3 linked regions of the Lytechinus pictus genome follow. The protein of the gene in region 3 purifies or fractionates together with the protein of the main gene of each other region. This does not show direct contact. Links are inferred from orthologs where the notes say so. Each region holds a gene or a part of one and is shown on either strand. Other genes may lie near its edges.

What was found.
Region 1: the proteins of nucleolar protein 56-like (region 3) and ATP-dependent RNA helicase A-like purify together in Homo sapiens (affinity purification with mass spectrometry; 3 studies listed by BioGRID and IntAct, with this or other methods). This does not show direct contact. The link is inferred for Lytechinus pictus from reciprocal best matches to the Homo sapiens genes NOP56 and DHX9.
Region 2: the proteins of nucleolar protein 56-like (region 3) and large ribosomal subunit protein uL30-like purify together in Homo sapiens (affinity purification with mass spectrometry; 3 studies listed by BioGRID and IntAct, with this or other methods). This does not show direct contact. The link is inferred for Lytechinus pictus from reciprocal best matches to the Homo sapiens genes NOP56 and RPL7.

The regions. Positions count from the first base shown.
Region 1 is NC_087256.1:29,478,866-29,485,737, reverse strand, and holds the start of ATP-dependent RNA helicase A-like, read right to left. Parts: upstream 4,210-6,872; 5' UTR 4,048-4,209; intron 1-4,047. UniProt on the Homo sapiens protein: Multifunctional ATP-dependent nucleic acid helicase that unwinds DNA and RNA in a 3' to 5' direction and that plays important roles in many processes, such as DNA replication, transcriptional activation, post-transcriptional RNA regulation, mRNA translation and RNA-mediated gene silencing.
Region 2 is NC_087245.1:41,427,082-41,433,953, forward strand, and holds the start of large ribosomal subunit protein uL30-like, read right to left. Parts: upstream 4,069-6,872; 5' UTR 4,026-4,068; coding exon 4,015-4,025; intron 435-4,014; coding exon 329-434; intron 1-328.
Region 3 is NC_087256.1:9,010,777-9,017,648, forward strand, and holds the start of nucleolar protein 56-like, read right to left. Parts: upstream 3,356-6,872; 5' UTR 3,354-3,355; coding exon 3,158-3,353; intron 2,516-3,157; coding exon 2,345-2,515; intron 1,942-2,344; coding exon 1,743-1,941; intron 273-1,742; coding exon 85-272; intron 1-84. UniProt on the Homo sapiens protein: Involved in the early to middle stages of 60S ribosomal subunit biogenesis. Required for the biogenesis of box C/D snoRNAs such U3, U8 and U14 snoRNAs. Part of the small subunit (SSU) processome, first precursor of the small eukaryotic ribosomal subunit.

The sequences.
Region 1 (6,872 bases), about 20 Mb from region 3:
AAGACGGTCTCTCGTTGGAACCACGTACCGGCTCTTTGGAATTTAATTTTTTGATATCAAATCGCAGTTTTAGATTCTATTTCAAATTGGTAAGCTGATTGTTTTCTTAAGTTATAATAGATCTAGGCCTATTAATTTTCATTCAAACGCTTTGTTTTCTCCGTCAAACCTCAAGCATTACAAGCCCAATGGCCGTCATCGGTCTAACTTTATTGACACTGGCAGAGGGGATACTGCGGCGCCGAGCCAAACAAAGTCTCGCTCGGTGCACTCTCACTCTCAGCAGCAGAGCATATCTAATGTTGTAAATCGGATCAAAAATCAGATCGGCAGTTGAGCTTCTAAAATTGAAATCGAATTGAAAATCGAATCGGCGATGTTTAAAAACAAAGGAATACATCAAAATTTTGTTCGCAGTCGCGCGCATCTTCCTGACAAAGTCACAAAGACGAATGCATTGGAATGGAAGTCGCCAACATGCGTGATCGTTTGGAACATGTTTAAGGTTTTGAGGTGTTACTGCTTTAAAATAAACTGAGTGATTTTTATTAGAAAGATAAACGAATGCTGCATCTTCCGAGCAAAGTCGCAAAGGAAAATAAAATGAAAATAATTCTCATAGATCACAGGTCAATGAACAATCGGCGGGACATATCCCTCGCCTAACAGAAAATAGACTTCTAACTATAATCACACAATATTAGTCTTAATCTAACTACTTGTATGATGGTGGTCCCCAAGTCTGTGCACCTAACGATTTGAATTAGGATTTAACATGAATTCATTTTTATTTCACAAAATCTTCATTATCTTTCAGTTGATAATGTTCCTTATATTATTATGATGAGTAAGTGTATGGTTGGAACTACCCTTATCGACCAACTAATTTTCTAAGCATCGTATCTGCAAAAATATTTATTACTTTCACCTAGATTTCCTCTAATTTGTGTAGAAAATTGAGCAGATCAGATTCCCACATTTCGATCGACGACTCAGATTCTATTCGCGTATATATCGGCGAACAACGAATGTGACGATTTTACATTTGCTCATTCGCACCCGTCTTTTGAAACCGACCACCCGCGATACACTAAGTTTACGGCTGATTCTTGTCGCGTTGGCGAAATATTTTGACTCTTCCAAATCAGTTCTATGATGTCAACATGCTAAATGATTGTCTCACTACTTCCACTGCGAGCTCAAGCACATGATTCGACGATTGACGACGGATTTTGTTCTAAAGCCGTTTACTATCAGATTTTTTGGTATGAACAACTGTTTTTCGGCGGGGTTCGGGTCTGGTCAATGCAATTTTGATGAATTCTACTAAATTTTTACATTTTTTGTTGTAAATCGATTCTTACCGTTCCTACGGACACTGCGCCTACTCCCCCTTGCGTATCGTTTGTAATATGCAATAATTTTAATGCGCGCAAGGTGGTCGGTTTCAAAAGAGGTGGTCGATATGTGGTGGTCTCACTCTACCAAATATCTCATAAAATTTTAAAGAAAAATACAGGCGCAGGCGATTCCATTTATTTTGGATCTGTGGAAACACTGTAATGTCACTTGTTCACTGCAACCATCCTGCCTGTGGGGAATCTACAGGTAGGACTATGGTATGCCAATGTTGTACAGAGCACACACTTTAAAAAAATCATTAAAATATCACTTTTGTGACCAAAATTACTAATTTCCATACAGTTGCAATTTATTCTTCATTAGTAACTTGGGAATAATTTTTGTATTCACCAGAGCGCTCAAAAACTTGATTTTTGGGCATATTTTTGTGTACGTCCTCTATTGGTGGAAAGTAGGCAAGAAAATTTTCATTTTTGATCTCTATTTTTAATTAAGAAAAAAATAATTTAAAGAATCAAATTTACTTAAGAGCCAAGTTGTATGAAAAATAGGTGTAATGGAAACTGTCAGTGTAAAAAAATCAAGCATTTGTCCCAAAGAAAAAGAGAAAATAAGCCAAACATTGCCACCCTTATTTTGCCACACATGGAGTAGGGAGTTCGGTGACTTTGAAATCTTGAAGAATCCCAACAAATTTCATATCATTGGAAAGCTTGTAAAATAAGAAAAATATTGGTGCTTCATTCAACTCATTGTCTGATATATTGACGGAGATTATTCTAATTTACAGGGGAAAATATGCAGATTTTGTTCTGTCAAAAAAAATATTAAAGGCTTGGGTGGGGCACTCCTAGTACCAATGAGGTCCAACATTACATGTATGGACCTCATAGGCGACATCAGTAGTATTTTTGGTTAGAAATCTCTGAGAACAGGATATTTAAACATTATATCACAAGTACAAGCTATAATTCCTTTCTCTTATTTAAATTATAATTTTATAGTGTAAATGCATCGTTAGCAACAACAAAAAATGAAAGAAATGAAGGGGAACTTACATTTTCACAGCTTTTTCCTGATTTTCTGGGCAGCTGCTCTTCTCTTCTGACTCGCGATCGAAGCTGATATGAAGATCACGTGATTCGCGTTCTCGTCAGCTGATCGGTTGGTTATTCTTTTCGTCAGACGTTAATAATATATATTTTATAATGCTAGCATTCATCGCTAATTTAGGTGAAAGAGATTGAAGTTAAACAGCGCCAGGTCGGAATCATAATTATTTTGGAAGAGTGTATTTATACACTCGATCTCATACCTGACGTAGACGGCGCTATTCAACAAATGCACAATCTTCAATATAAAAAATAAAACAGAAAGAACGCCTTGAACACAGGCCAAAATGCCTAACGATTTCTCCGCGGCATTAACAACTATCGTAAAGGGCGCTCCATTTATCAATAAAGATGGACGCTAAGCTGTCTATGGCGACAAAATTTGCCGCAAATATTTACGAAGAATTGTGAGAAATGGTCTGAAAATGCAACAAAAGAACCGGTGAGTACCGATTAAACATTATTAAATTTGTAAATAGATTATACATACCTTGTAGATTTAGTTTTTAAGGTGATATTAGTGCTTAGTTCTAAGCTAGGGAGGCCCAAACGCGCGTGAGTGGAGTCCCAGTTTATTAGCACGGGTAAGTATTGGGGTGTCGCCTAGAGTGGGGTGGGGGAGACAGTTTCTTTTTGAAATCTTGAAGGAATCCCAACAAATTTGGTACCATTGGAAAGCTTGTCAAATAAATCAATTCATGTCAAATATTGACAGAGATATGTCTGTTTAAACGGGAGAATGTGCAGATTTTTTTACAGCAAAAAGTAGATTTTCATAACTTACACAAAATGCAATGAATGGGACTGTGTAGGCCTAATACTTTTTTTAAAAGTGCAATGCGCTGCTATGCGGGGCAAGGCATGCCCTTGAACTATACATCATTTTATTCATAGAACTTCAAAGTTTCTCATGGTATACTATAGGTTTCTATAGGGTTTTTCCTCCTCCTTTAATGGCTTCATATTTGTTTTATACATGGGTGCACAGACAGATACAAATTCTGAAAGTCAAAGTGGCATTTCCACCGAACTCCCTAACGTTACATGGAGATATAACCGAGAACAAGGTTATATCATATTCATAACCTTGTTCATTGAATGAGTGTGTAATGTTATTGTTAGAGTCTACACCCCATTCGCTTAGACTTTGCAAAATGCAAGTGATTCACTTCAGCATTTCAGGGATTTTGATGAAAAAGGATGCATTGTTTGTGAGGCTCCACGCCTCCAGTCTCAGTCTCACATGAAATGCCCAAAATTCATTATGTGCAGACTTGGGGAACTTTGCCATACATGTAGTCTACACACTTTCTTTCATTGCACCCAAAGCCAAGGCAAGGCAAAGAAATAAGCACAACATCATACATGTACAACTGCAGCCGGCTTACACTACGCGCAAGCCGTACCCCCATCCATCACATGGCCATGCCAGCCAGCCACGCCGGCGAAACGGAGATCTTGTCATATGGACGCCGCTTGTTTGTCGGAGCCTGGTGCGAAAGTGCATTAGCGCCATTAAAAATTAGACAACATTTTTATTGAATAGAAATCTATAAAAATAATTATTAAATACCGAACTCACGAATCAGCAACTCAAGAAAAGTATAAAGTCTCTAGAGTAGTCCAAATAAGAGTACTTTCACAGATTATGTCTTGATTTGTGATGTTTTCTCTCTTCGAGATCTAGTTCAGTGGCCTCGACCTCCAATCGCCATGTAAGGTCACGTCGTTAGAGGGCGTTTTATGTTTCATGACGAGATATATGGAGGTGCCGTGGCCGAGTGGTCTAAGGCGCCTGGCTATACAAGGAAAGTCCGGGGTTCGATCCCCGGCTACGACACCTATGCTCTTTTATCCTGCATTCAAATAGACGGAAATGCTTTACGCGTTATTTGTAACTAGGTGTGCACTTGTTAAAAAAAAAAAAAAATATATATATATATATATATATATACCGTATATATATATATATATATCCACAAAAGTGGAGGTGCCGTGGCCGAGTGAGTCCGGGGTTCGAACCCCGACCGCGGCACCTATGCCTGTGAGCAAGGTATTTAATGTGTAATGCTCTTTTATCCTGCTTTAAAATAAATGGAAATGCTATAGGCATTATTGGTAACTTGGTGTGCACTTGTTTTTAAAAAATATATCCACCTCTTGATATATTACATATCTATTCTATATATCATAGCTCTTTTATACTGCATTCAAATAAATGGAAATGCTATACGCATTATTGGTAACTAGTTTACTTGTTTAAAAAAAATATATATGATCGATATCTCCATGGACCATTCTGACGAGATTGGCGACAAATCAGCGCTTTGCGTATCACGAAGGCATTTTTTTGTTTTATTAAGTTGTTATTTATTGAATTCATTCAATACACCCATTCAATACAATATCGCTTTTTTTCTTAGTAACATAAGAAAAAAATAAATAATATATATACATAGTTGTTTTATCCTTCATTTGACTTGTCTTCAGGGGCGGTATATTCTAAGAGCACAATAGCGCTCACATATGCGATCCGGCCGGTGCGACGCGATTTTTCAAAAAAAAAAACGCGATTAAAAAAAAAAAAAAAAAACACGCATATATGCATCAAATATGAAAGTTCCAAGAAGTAAAATTACTTTAAATAAAGTTTTGCATATCGTTAGGAAAACTAAAATCACTGTTTTACTTTGCGGCAAGCCCTTTGGTCGGAGTAAAGTCCAAATCGGCTTCAAGTCACAGCCAATGATGACGTCATTATACGATTTGGAATTGAATTTCATTCATTCAGGGATCGCGTCGAGGCTCTAACTGGACTGAATTTCGATTTCAGAAGCCACTACTGTGAAGTCTGATCCGTAATATTAGTTGGAATATCCATATCAATTGTTGGTTATCACAATCAATTTCGGATCGTGTGAGACGAGCTTTAGCGGTCAATTAGCATTTTGGTGTGTCCCTCGGCTTTTTTATATTTGGCAAGGGTGACAATGACCGAAACAATGACAATAACATTTATTCCCACGGTCACCAATAGAGTGGGTACTGATTGGAGAAACAATCATAAAAATGTACAAAATCATCAATGTCATTTCATCAAGTAATTTGCCAATCATTTAGAGTAAATTTAAAAAAAGATCAATAAAAAATACAAATTTTAGCATTAAAAATTATAGTAACAAATGATATAGTACCCTGAAGCTTCAAAAACATATGATTAAAAAAAGAAAGAAAAATTCCAAATAACGACATCATCACATCGTTGGCTATTAAACCACAGTCAAAAAGCTCAAAATATCATATTTCGAGCGTAGCAAAGTTTAGAAAATTTGATAATTAGGCCTACATGAGATAATGGATTAATGCCTTGAAGCTTAAAAACCCAGCTTTTTAAAATTGTAATTAGCATATGCATCTGTCTAATAAAAGGCAAGTAATGGCATCAGCATATTATTGGCTCCAATATTCAATTAACAGCTCAAAATATTGAATTTGGAGCGTAACTTATTGAGAAACGAAGCATAATTTTCCTGCAATTTTTTCAAGGTTGGAACGGATTTCTGGTTTTTCACAATTAAAATGGCTGATTCATTTTTACAGTATTCGGTCTTTCAGTGTAATATTTTTTTAAGATGAAACTTTCTTTCTTTAGCAAAAGAAGGACATTAAACGAATAGATAGTGAAATTCATCACCAATTGATTGAAGGTTGCATAATGTACAAAACCTTAATATGTTCCTTTGACGATTTTCATATCTTCCTGAGGCAAAAGGGTGTCGATGATTTCCAAAACGAAATCTACAAAAACGCGATTCTATCTTTTTTTATTCATATTGATGAGGTAACTTTCTAGACGAAGATTTTCTTTGAATATATAGTAGTTAACACACTGAGAGTTTTCGGTTATGAACGTAAACCAATTATGCAACTGTGAATCCTATATTCGTAGATCTACAGCTTGTTTTACCCAATATCTGCTCGAGGAATCAGAAATGTCAAATAAATTCGTCATGCCCAATCTATTAAGAGTTTGCTTTGGCGTTAACCAACTTGACTGATATATACCTTGATCAGAAAGTATTTTTACAGTCTCGAAAATCATATACTAGACATTTTTGTTTTCCTATTGTGAACTAATCCATACCGTTCATCATTCTTTTCTCAATATATTATTTTATCTAATTTGAATATTTCAAGTTCGCCTAAAACCATGCATGCAGTTTGCCGTTAATATCTGCTTGCAAAATTTCATGTGAAACACTTCTAGATCTCTAATCACATCAAAACCCCATATTTCTGACCCATAGAGGAGTATCGGTAAAACAAGTTGATCAATTCAATTTGGATATCCACTGATAAATCAAGATGATAAATTTTATTCAACGTGCTATACATTGC
Region 2 (6,872 bases), on a different chromosome or scaffold from region 3:
TGTGAAGGATAACACAAAGCTCAGCAATGATCGTAGAACATCTTTCTACGATTGATTCCATTCGCTACAATGTATAATCAACTGTAGAAATCAAGCGTACGATTAATCGCTAACCTTTGTGTTACGGGACTTTAAATTTTTACATCAAAATTCAATTTTGATCGGGTACCCAATCAAAATAAATATTACTTCTTTTTATAAAACCACTCGCTCCTAGATACATACAATGCAGCCCCCAAAATAGTGTTCTTGAGACTATGATGAAATTTTAGATTTGGCAAACCAAATTCATTATAAAGCCTAAAAATACAAAAAGTTAATATTTCACCTTCTTGGCAAGGAGGCGAGCTTGTGCCCTCTTAGCCTTCTCAGTTTGTCGGTTCTTCCTCTTCTTCAGAAGGGATTCTGGTGCCGTTGGCAGCTTCTTTGGCGCACTATAAGAAATAAAAATGAATGACAAACAATTATATTTTAAAATCACAAATCAGATCATCCTGGGGTGACTTGCCATTTATGAATCATGCAGGATTATCATAAAGGATCACTTGTCATGCAGAACTCAAGAACAAAAATACAATAGGCCAATCGACCTTAGGGAGATTCCAAGCAAAAGCGGACATTTTCCCAAAATTTATGGAAGTTCATAAATACAAAGGGGCATCATAATAATAATTAGCCTAAATTTTCTTTTTACACATCTCCTAATAGGAGAATCAGAACCATACAAAAAATGACATCGAAGAGACTACAGGATCTACACAGAAGAGGCGCACGCCGTACGGCCAATATCAGAGACTTTTCTAAAGAATTTGGGTATCCAATTTCATGGACAGTCTCCAGTTTGGGAGACCAATTTTCTTTGTTTACATATGCTGCAAAAGGATTACCTTGGCAGCAAATAAAAATGTGAAAAGCAGATTCCTCATGAAAAATTACCCCTTTTCACCGTCTACTTTAAAAATTCATCGTCTAGACCTCTACTTTTGTTTTTATAAGGATTTTTGTTGTCATCCACACACAAAATGGGCTTCTGACCTCAGTGGGACAAAATTTCAGATGGAAAAAAATCATACTTTTGTTGGTGTTGTTTCTTTTGTTCTTTTGCAAAGTCTCCAATATGGGAGATCGTCTCCCTAATATTGGAGAGTCTCCATTATTGGCCGTGTGCCTCTACTGATCTACAGATACCAGTATTTCATTTTACTCAATTTCAATTGAACAGAAAGCTATTGTTAGGGTGTCTGGAGAAAAAAGTTATTTTTCTTATTTCAAGAAAATATCACATTTTCTTTGTGAATTTTAATGGAAATAACCTTCAGACTGACAGAAATGTAATTTTTTTTGTAGATCTAGGGGCCTAATGGTTGCAAAAAAGAATGAAATCAGGTAAATTTTCAGCATTTTCCTGCCATAGACTGTGTAGTTAAGAAATGGACACACACAAATCCAAATTTTTTTATTCTGAGAGCTGCTATAAATAAATGTATTCTTGATGCCAAAAACTTGCCCAAAGTGCCTACTAGGAATTTTGATGCTCTTTCTGATGGTATGATTTTTTAAATGATTTGGAAATCAGATCACAATGAAAATTGCGGCAAAGTGAATAAAATTGTGCCAAACAGAAATTCATTTTCCCATAGTTAACGCATGAGGTCATTCCATCTGGATTCACCCAGTGGTTGCACCCAACCCTCTCAAGTTTTTATTGTAAATTGGTACACATAAAATTCCCCATGGCCCAAGCACAAAACAAAAAATTAGTCCAATCGGTCCGTCGGTTCTCGCGCTACGGCCCGCCCTTTTCTCCTTGTTTTGACAAAAATGGGCGTGACCTTCAACTTTCAATGGCCATTGCATCGTAACGTATTGACAAATTTTCACGAAGCTGGTACCATTCAAAAGGAAATTAAGAGGAATCCAAAACATGCATCAAATAATGTATTGGAGCGATTATAAGGTAATGACCTTTGACCTTTACTTCGACCCCCGGACAAATAATTCTTAAACATGATTTTCGTGTATGTTGATTATTAGTATAATATTGACAAAATATGTTAAAACCAATGACGATATTTTATTTCTTCACCTTTTAAAACTCTTCCAAAGATACCAAATTATCTGATCTGAAATTTCACCCTAGTCCCACATACTGATATTCATGTTAGAAAAGCGTTTACCAGTCCCATGATACATGATTTCTTCCAATTTTAGTTACACTTACAGTATGCAAACAGATGAAAAGAACTAAGCTCATGATTTAACAAATGAAACATTAAACATTTATGCTCATGAATAGGTATCTGTTTAGGTATTTTGATGTTGGGCAATATATAATAACTCAGTCATAATTAGAAAACTGCTGGGAACTGCAATATCTGTTTTCTAGTAAGCTGTACTCCCCCAAAGTGGGAAATGGTAATCTCAACACACACACAAATAAGGGTTTGCAATTTATCTCTAAATCATTATTTAAAATGATCATATAAACTTGCCCTTACAACTGTACTGTCAGAAGTCCCTGAATTTTCTCTTTCCATACATCCCAAAGGCCAAACATTAGTTAGAAATGAATTCAGATCGCAATTCAGCAGCCTAAATTTCCCGAAAAAATGTGCCATATTTTCCCCTAAATCAGCCTGTTTTGCTGACACTTTTCAGTGTGGCTTCAGTTCAGACACCCTACTCTTTTGTTTTTTTTGAAATATTCAGTTGGATATATTGTAGTCTTCTTACTCTTAGACTCTATAAGACTATATTCTGAAGGAGTGAAGGTCGACTTTATCGTGATATTACTTAGCTAGTCACCTCTCTTCTCGTGTGCGTGCACTCGGTGTGTACTACAAGGTCAATGGGAGTTGAAAGAAGTCACCAGCGCTGACAAAATGAACGGCAGTGAATGAACTGGTGGGTGTTTCATAAAGCTGTTCGTAAGTTAGAGGGACTTTAAGTTTAAGAACGACTGGCGATCCTTTCTTGTAATTGGTAGGCCCTATCACCAGTAGAGGCGCACGGCCAATATGGGAGACTCTCTCCAATAGGGGAGACAATCTCCCACATTATTTGGAGACTTGCTTTGCAAAAGGACAACAGAAACAACACTAACAAAAGCATGATTTTTTCCACCCAAAATTTTGTCTCACTGAGGTCAGAAGCCCATTTCTTTGTTTTGTGTGTGATTAACAACAAAAATCCTTATCAAAACAAAAGTAGACGGTGAATATTTAAAGTAGACGGTGAAAAGGGGTAATTTTTCATGAGGAATCTGCTTATCACATTTTTATTTGCCGCCAAGGTAATCCTTTTGCAGCAAATGTAAACAAAGGAAATTGGACTCCAAAACTGGAGACTGTCTTACAAAAGTCTCTGATATTGGACTCTTGGAGTTGGAGATAATCTCCCACATTGGAGACAGTCTCCAATATTGGCCGTGCGCCTCTACTGATCACCATTAAATATTCATTGGTGATTATCAAATGCGTAAGATATGATCACCACTAGACACCAGTCGTTCGTGAAGTCGCTCTTAACTTACATTACAAACAGCTTTTTTTTTAGGCCCCTAATCATTCATAGACATTGTTAATGACGACTGACGTTAATGTTATTGACTTTGTGTAGGACAAAACTAAAAAGTCATAAGTCACAACCATGATGAACGTCAACGAGCGCACACACACGAGAAGAGGTGACTTATTTCAGGATAAGGCCCATCATTATGCATCATATCATAATATCATAATAAAGTGAAATGCCTGCCCATGACCATGTACCGTACGCGACCGTACACACACTGCATCGTTCTTGGGTTCCGTACGGGTGCTCTTCGGCCTAAGCTAATTCATTGGTGTGAACATGTAACACAAAATTTAGAAAAAATAGTTCAACATCAATGGAAATATTTTGAGTGCATTGATCATGATCATTTCAAGCATAAGAACCAACGGTACAATCTGTAAAATAATAAAGGATTAACTGGATTTGAGGAGATTGTTCAAGGGAATACTCTTTTCGTACCTATCTGCCATGTTGGACCAAGTCGAAAAGGACTCTATTCATTGGGTAAATTTTGTACTTAGGTGGCGCTATTTTTTCCCCAACAACCATGTTTAACAGTCATGGCATCATGGACAGTGCGTATCAAAAAAAAGTTTACACTTTGAAAAAATCCTGTAAAATTATACATTTGTAATATCCTGAAGATTTTTCCACATTTTAACATTGGTACAGATCCATTTAAGCAAATGACGATATAACTGTCGAAAAATATTTCTGCTTGAGTGAGCACCACTTACTTTTGAAAAATTAGTGAAAAATGATTTGCCAGAACTTTGAAATAGTTATGCGAATAAAAGTAGACCTTAATCATGAAGAACACGTGGAATTTAGCTAGTAAAATTGATTTGAAGATATCTTTTACCATTCTTGACTTGTTTCTTTGCCCAAAACACTTCAAAAAGTGCATTTCAACCCACCCCACACACCGAGGCCATCGTGACGATATTTGCTTTACACTGAGCTGTGATTTACATGAAATGGCTTAGGCTTGATTTTCATTTTGTTAATCATTGTCAAGCTTGGGAAAAGTGTGGAGCACTAGCGTACCTACGGGGGGGGCAGGGGGGGCACTCTGCCCCCCCTGACGAGATTTTGAAGACCTTTTTTTTTTTTTTTTTTTTTTTTTTTTTTTTTTTTTTGCTTGTCAAATTTTTTCTGGTACGAAAATCTTTATTTTGTATTGATGACCCCTTTTTTTTTTTTTTGCTTGACAAATTTTTTCTGGTACGAAAATCTTTATTTTGTATTGATGACCCCTTTTTTTTTTTTTTTTTTTTTTTTTTTTTTTTTTTTTGCTTGTCAAATTTTTGGGCGGCCAATTTTGCCCCCCCTGTGAAAAATCCTAGGTACGCCACTGGTGTGGAGAAACAAGTATTAAATGAAAAATGAAATGTAAACCCACTTTAAATGATAAAAACTTAGTGAAAAAAAATGCAAGCGTGCAGCCCCAACCAAAATTGTTATTGTTGTAATTATATTACCTAAAAGTTGTTCTCTACCCTTTTCCTGTCCCTGGTCAGCCCAGTCCGTCCTCACTATCGGTACAGAGAGCTTTGAAAGTCGCATTGCGTAAAAATCACAATTTACCGATAAAAGTGTACAGTTTAATTGACATATACCGACCAAGATGGTGAAACTAAAAACCGAATCAGTTGGAACAGCCCTGTGTGCCCGACAGTTTATCATTTTTTTCCGACATACTGCAGTCCAGTTTTTGTTTCCCCTTTCGCTTATACTATTCCTTCTTTTTCCCCTTCCCCCTTTTTTCTCTCTTTCCTTTTTTCCTCTTTTCTTTCCCTTTTTCGCTTCCTTTTTTTTTGCTTGTGACTCGTCAGGGGGGGCAGTCTGCCCCCCTGCCCTCCCCCCCCCCTCAGGTACGCTAGTGGTTGGAGGACTGAAAAGCTCAAATTTTGAGGTCTCCCAACGAATAATGTGGATTAAACGTGTGCTAGACGGAGAGCCAAAGTTCGGGTTGGAAAGCAACCTTCGAATATTTTTTATTAGTTCTTTGGGTGGTCGAATCATACTTCTGTATAATTATGATACCAGTAAAATGAATTTGAAAGGTATACCATTATTTTACATAGAAATGCTGAAGGCATGGTACGAATTGGATAAATGTAGACATTTGGAGGGAAAAGTAATACCATTATTTTTAATAACAAGCGTATATGCCTCAATAATAAGACCTTTTTTTATAATGAATTATTTCAGAAAGGTATAGTTAAGGTCTCGGATATAATAGTTGGAGGTCAATTAAGACCAGTTTCATATTGGTATAATCTGAAATTTTCATCTGAAAACTTGCTCAGAATTCAAATTTTTTTAGTAATAACAAAAGAGTGGATACAGGTGATTGTATGGAAGTGGATACAGACAACTTTAAAATTGAATTGATGATATTTGGGCATGTTCAGAAACTATGTAATATAAAATCTAGACGAATATATGACCACTAATTGAAAAATGTCAAAATGATTATGTATTTCATGTTACAGATGGGCAATCCGAATATGATCTGGGAATGGGGGAATTGCACTAGCGTACCTAAGGGGGGGGGGGCAGGGTGAGCAGACTGCCCCCCTGACGAGTCACAACTCATGCAGGGGACGTATCCCTGCCCCCCTGACGAGTCACAACTGATACAGGGGACGTGCCCCCCCCCCCTTTTGAATCTGAAGACCCTTTTTTTTGCTTGTCAAATTTTTTCTGGTCAGGAATCCCTTTTTTTGGTTGAAGACGTTTTTTTTTTTTTTTTTTTTTTTTGCATGTCAAATTTTTTCGCGGACGAAATATCCTCCTAAAAATTTGCCCCCCTTCTGGAAAATCCTAGGTAAGCCAGTGGGGAATTGAAAGAAGTATTTCTGAGACTGAAATGTGCAATGCTATGCAATAAACACAGAGAATTTCGATACAAACAATTACAGGGGGCTGCATACAAGAAAAGGGAACTTTTTTAATTTGGCTTTGAGATAGATCATTAATTTTTGTTCCTTTTGTAAAAAAGAAGTTGAGTCTTACCAACACTAAGTTTTCTATTGTCCTGAAGTTAAGCGATTATGGGAAGAGATGAGTAAAATATTTCAAGTGAGTGAACTTGGCAGTGATAGTTGGAAAACAATTTTCATGGGGATATCTGGAAATACCACAAAAGTATCTTTAATAAATTGTATTATAATCTTAATTAAGCATATTATTCTTAGTTCAAGAAAACAGGGAATATTACCAAATATAGAAAGTGACACATTTGGTTAAAGGACAAGTCCACACCACTTAAAAGTTTATTTGAATAAAGAGAGAAAAATCCAACAAACATA
Region 3 (6,872 bases):
CTCTATAAGAAAATGATAACATTAGCCATATTGCCCTTTTACATGCCAAACAAAGAATCGAATTCACAATGATAAGATACTGACCCATAGACGAGCGTGATGCATCCAAGATGGCCTGAGCTTTACCACTGTCCATGGTCAACTCCTCCAGGGCTTCAAGAGATTCATCAGTAAGCTCCTTACGGTTCTTGATGAAGTGGGCAACCTTGGCGTAGAGTGCGTTGTCTGGAACTACTTTGACAAGTTCTGGAAAGTGATAGGAGTACCATTCTCTGGAAGGGTAAAAGAATTCAAGGTAAATATTTAAATCACAAAGCAATATATTTTGTATAGACTTATTGTACATATCCAAACAACTTGGGGGCGATCTACCAATCACACCTGAAGCTACATGTAGAGTTAGACAACTTATTTCAGCATTAACCATTTGATAAATTCAATACACCAGCTCCTTATTACACATGGGTAAAGGGTGGCAAATGCAAATTAATATCTTACTAAAGGATATATCATAAAGCACAGGGTGGCATGATGATTTAAAAAAATTGTGTATTCTATAATATAGTAATGACAAGATGATAATCATCCCCTATGAATGTTAAACAGGGTCAGCAAACCATACTTACATTACTAGGTGGCAAACAGACAATAATGTATATTACCAGGGAAATGTAAAATATAAGTTAAGAGGGACAATTTGATGACCCTATCCCATGGACCCTAGTGCAATGTACTATGGATGACCATGATTTATGATTAACTATCATGTGGAGCGTTGTTGCCCAGTGGATAAGTCTTCTGACTTTGAAACAGAGGGTCGTGGGTTCGAATCCCAGCCATGGCGTAATTTCCTTCAGCAAGAAAATCATCCACATTGTGCTGCACTCGAGCCAGGTGAAGTGAATGGGTACCCGGCAGGATTAATTCCTTGAATGCATAAGCGCTGAAAGGCAGCTCGAGCTAAAGCCGGGGTAATAATAATAATAACAACGCGCCTCGGAATAGAATATTTCTAGATAGATGGCGCTATATAAATGCCTATTATTATTATTATTATTATAGCAATTTAAGCTCAGGTTTTTATGTCTGAAACATAATGATAGACTCCAATTATTTATTATAACAACTTAATCTATTGGGGGCCCCAGACATATGTTTGAATAAGTACAAAAGTGGCTCCTAAGACATGTGTTTTGCGAAATCTGTCAAAGAAACTGCTTCGGCTTAAAGGTATTGTTTAACTTTGTGAGCAGCCTATTTAAAAAATTCTCAAACCAAGATGAAACATGTGTACAAGTGCATGTATTAGAACTAATAAACCCTGAAAACAGCCGTTATTGAGAATGAAAAGCTAAAACTACAAGGCAAACCCCGATTTTGTAAATGGGTGTCTAATAGACGCCTAAATAGTACACATAAGTGTATGGGATGAAATTAAGATGGTGTTTCTGGTCACTTTATATTTCAATTTTTGAAGCACTAAATAATTATTTTCGAACGCAATTTTTTCTGGGCTTCATTTTTGTAACATATCACAGACACAGGTGACAAGTGTGACCTTCTAGCTCAGATTTTTTAAAAGTCAAAACAATGTTAACCAATCACTTTAATGCATATATTCGCCATATGGAAGATTGACTTTACGCAAGTTTACCTTTATGTAGTCTACCCAGTATTGTCTACTCATTTAAGTGTGATATTTTAACATATTGTCACAATGTACAGCCCAACACAATACTCACTTGATTCTCATTGAAAATGTATTGATATCCTTATCCAGTTGATCAAGCAAACAGATGGATTGGATGATCATGTTATCTGCTCTGTTCACATTGAACTTGACCTTTGCCCTTGAGTAGCTGTGACCTAGACCAAGTTGTGCTTTAGCCTCTGTCTGAGCGGTCAGTCCCTTGACCAGTCTGTAGAAATGGTACCTCAGACCTTGTAAAAAAAAAAGGAATGTGGTTACTATTTTGATAATTAATGCTCTTTTCAATTTACATAATTTACTGGCGAAGAGCCACAGTCAATAACATCAACAGGTCTGAATTATTCATAGCTCCCAGAATTTATTTTGGCGATTTGAATATGTAGTATTTTTTTGTGTTTCTCTCCTTGAGAACATCCTTACCACAAACATGCTGTCAAAGAACAAATACTTACTGATATCTCTAATTGATCTCACTGCCTGATAGATCAAGTCAAAATTTATCAAAACATAAAATACCATTTCAATTTGTTTTTATTCTAATGCCAAGGCTCAAGATTAATCTATGATCTATCACATGCCTCCACTGTGCATTTGACATCCTTTGAAGACAGTCCCCTATTAGAAAGTTTTTACCTCTTGCGATCTCCTGGAAGACTCCTCCCGTCTGACAGGGGATACCTAGTTCCTCCTGGATAGAAGCACCTATCTTCCCATCGGCCACACCCAATGTGATCTTCTTCCTCTTCTTAGAGCTCTCTGGCATGTTGGTCTCCAGGAAGAGTTTCAGGTCTTCTGTCATCACACCTGAGACACAATAAAAGAACACAAAAAAAGAGGTTATATTTTCTAGGGTATCAACATACCTCTTGACCAATTTAAAGAAAAATAGGAATGATCTTGCTAAAAAAATCAGGAAACAGTAGTTTTCATAGGATCGTGTAGTAAAGTTATCAAGAAACGTAGGAAAATTGTCTCAAACAGGGGCTCAAAATGGCAAAAAAAGATCACATTCTTTCCTCCAAATTCAGAATGATTGAGAGGCCTGAATCGAAGGGCGAATATCATTCACATTGTTGTAAGTAAATAGGAATCGATCTGTTGTAAAATTTCCAGTAATTTCCTGCCACAGACCATGCACATGTCTTCAACAAAACTCAACCAAAATACTACCACCTGATGATTTGCAAAATATACTTCACTACAGGCTCTAAATTTTTTATTCATTGCTTCTTTCTCTGTTGAACGAACTTCCTAGAGTCTGTGCCATCATGATCAAGTAATGGAAGTTGGGGTTCAACCACAACACAGCTTTTATGTCCTTGAGCAAGAGCTACATTGTGTATTATCAAAACATCAAGTATAGGAAATGCTATTAAACAAAATCAGTATCAACATTTTCATTTTTATTTTTATTAAAAAAAAAAAAAAATTATTGGCAAAATTTACCTTCTGAGATGCTGTTGATATTGTCAAGTGCGTTGACCCCTGATTTGAAAGGCGAGAAGGCCTGAAGCTTGATCAGAGAGGCAAACTTGCCAAAGTCTGTCACAGATTCCTGGACTTGGTGATGAAGGACAGAGACCTCCTCAAACTCCTTGACTGCAAACAAGCCGTAGCCTGATGCATGTTCAAATAAAATCATCATAGCCTGGGTGAAAAAAGAGAACAGAAAATGGAACAGGATAAAATGGATCTGTAAATGGGTTTGACGAACATGTACTTAAACATAGTTTGAGAACTCTGAAATAAAGGAATGGATAGCTCACAAGTTTCTAGTATATTTCAATTTACATGTGAATGGTGGGAGTAATATGGTGTTTACCACATGATTACATGCATGTTGAGGCCAGAGTTATCTAGTTATTTCATTTAAAACTGTTACACTGCTTTCAGTAAACAGACACTAGTTTGTTTCTCGAGTACGCCCCCCCCCCTTCACAGCTACATGTAGGCATTTTATTGAATAAAACAATTTTCAAAATTTACATTTACATATTAAAAAGTAAAACAAACAGCTAGTGTGTGTAAAAATCAATAAGAAAAAGTGAAACAACATGCCAAGATGGTACATGTAAAATAACAATACAAGAAGAGAACCAGAGGTATTGATGCAAAAGAAACATTACCCAATATAAATAATAGGCCTACATGTAGATTAATGAAGTTTGACCAACATCTTTAAAAAGAATTTTGTTTCAAATTTTAACAAGAGATCACATTCTCATATATATGAAAATGTAATTCTTTACCTCAATTTTCTGTACGAGGTGAAATCCAGCCAATTTAGTTTTATGTATTATCCATTTTACCCACATTGTATTTACGGCTCTATTTTGCTTAAAAGCTTGGTCTCAACCAGCCATACTTGCAAGTGTGTGCTGTCTGCTTTCTAAAAACATGGGCAAAATTTGCGGATCATATTGAGTACTGCCTCCCTACGGATTTGGGAGCACGCAGACAAGACGTAGCACTTTTATGACACGAGGAACTTTCGCTTTACTCTCATTACGGGTGATGCGCATGCCCTCTACTGCCAACGTTAATCACACTTGCAACTTCCAAAATTCACAAAAACATTACGATTTCATATTCACAAATCAAAGAATTCATATACCTAAAACGACTAACCAAGGTTAGGTGTTTGAAAAGTATCTACGAAGGTTGTATCAAAATCTACAATTGCAAAGCAAAATTGCAATGGAATTATGTGAGAGCTTTTGAATATCATCACGGTGCAGCGTATTGGCCAGGCCAAAAGCCAGGCTACATGTAGAGATCCGCAGTCAACACGCACATTTAGTGGTGCACCAGTCACTTTGTGAAAATCGCTGTTGTGATGTGATGATACCGGTACTTGTACCTGGTACTGCACTGGTATTATGAGTTGTCAAATCATATTCTTACACGGTACCTTTTTTTTTTGTCTTTCATTCCTTCCTGTTTTTATTTTTTTTATTTCCATCCCTAGCTTCTTTTCTTTTCATTCTTTACTTTTTATTTTTTCCCTTCTTTCTTTCCATTTGAACTTTTAAGAAATTATTTCCTTCATTTCTCTTTCCTTCTTCCTTACTTTTCTTTCTTTCATTTTTCTTACTTCCTTTTTTCCGTAGATCTATTTCGTTTTTGTCTTTCTCTCTATTCTCTCTTTTAGGGTTGACAATTTTTTTTTTTTTTTTTTTTTTTTAATAAAAAAAAATTGGATTTAATTTTTTTTTTTTTTAAAACAATATTTTCTAAAACAAAGTGGAAAGACTAAAAATAAAACCCTTACACTTAACTCAAAATCATACATTTCAAAATCATACATTTCACAACTAAAATTATTATTAACTTCTATTCTATTTCATAATTAAAGACAGTCAAAATAGAATTTATATAGAACATATTGTAAGTCATGACGAAGATGCTGTTTCTGCATCCTCTCGTGTTGGGAGCTCCTACTGACTGGTTTGGTCCAAGTTGAGGAACTGCCTTGGTACAGCTAATACTGCAAAGTTAGTGTTCCTATTCAAACATGAAATGAGGATCAGTTTCTTTGGAAGAATTCCATGACTCAGAGACTCACATTCTTGAAAGAGAAACATTCTTGATTTTCAAGCCAAGGACTGAAAATCATGTGTTTAATAGAGAAAACTCCATTTCTCTTTGTTTGTTTAAACCTCCTTTGGCATTTGAGCCATGTTTGGAGCTTTTTGATTGTTTAAAGCATTGATTTGCAAAGCTATGACTTATTGGGAAAAAGTTGCAAGTTTATTTAGTACAATAAACCTGGAGTTGTACATTGCACATGTACATATTTCAATGGAAGTGATTTAAATCAATGATTAAAACAAAATCATGTGGTGAAAATGGAGTAGGGGGCAAAGTGGTAACCACTTATGAAGGATTTATTCATGTTTTGATGATATAAAATTGATAAAATCTTTCTATTTTGAGCAAAAAAAATAAAACTGCCACAAATACAAACAAGGCAAAAGCGATTTTGTGTCTTGCCCACTTAGGAAAATAACCAGAAATATCTTGATTTGCGAGGGCACGCAACAGAATTGTATCAAAACTCATTGGGGCAATTCCATAGGTTGGTGGACATGAGCTTAAAAATTCAAATTCTCAAATTCAATATTTTCTTGAATTTTTAAATACTTTAAGTCCTTCATACATGATGGTTTCAGGAACAAAAATTAAAAAGATTATTTTCATATGTATACTTTGGAAAAAAATGGTCAAAAGTTGTGTCTTCCACTCTGTACAAAAATACAAGAAATATAGTGAAAAATTAAATATGCCTTATTACCATTTTGTTATTGCAACATCATACCACTTTATATATTTCTGATAGAAGAGTCAAATTACTTAAAATACACAACATATTTTCAATTAAATTTGTAGTACTTGTTCAAAAATAAATATTGCAACCTGCTCAGGTGATGTAACGTGAGTAACCAAAAAAACTGACTTTGTTTTCTGAGAGAAAAATTCTTCACAGTAAATTGGTGGAATTTTAAATTCTCTTCCTTCAAACAATCTTTACACTACCACGCGTCACGATTGGCGGGCGCCGCCAAGCCTGAAAATTTTCAGGGCAAATCCGCCAACCCTGAACTTCCCCGACAACCGTGGCCGACAACTGTAAAGCAGGCCTAGATCTACACAAAAACTGAATAATATATAAAAAAATAATCTGCTTTTCAGATCCTAAAGTAAACTTGTCGATTATTTCGTCCACGATTCCTTCCCGGGATTTCTCACTCACTACTACTAGTGCGCTATATACGATACGACCTCGACTCGAGGCCCAATCTCTTTTGTGGGAAGTGCGAAGATGTTTACCTCGCATTTGCGTATCGCATTGCTCACATTATTTACGTCTTTAAAATGGTAGTAAATACTCTCAAAAACAAGTGAGGGGAGAGGGGTATCGTGGGTTACTGGCTTGGGCAATGTAATTTAGATTATTACGAATTTCAGTTGATATTGTCACTTATTATGTCAAATATAAAGTGTGTCAAAATTACTATCAAAATTCGATCGAAATATAGTTTCATCTCGTCCCAGGCCCCAGCCTTTATAGCTACATCTACATGAATTCATTTAATGCATTTCTGATGACACTGCCGTAGAGCGAATTGAGAAAAACTATTCAAAGATCACGTTAATAATA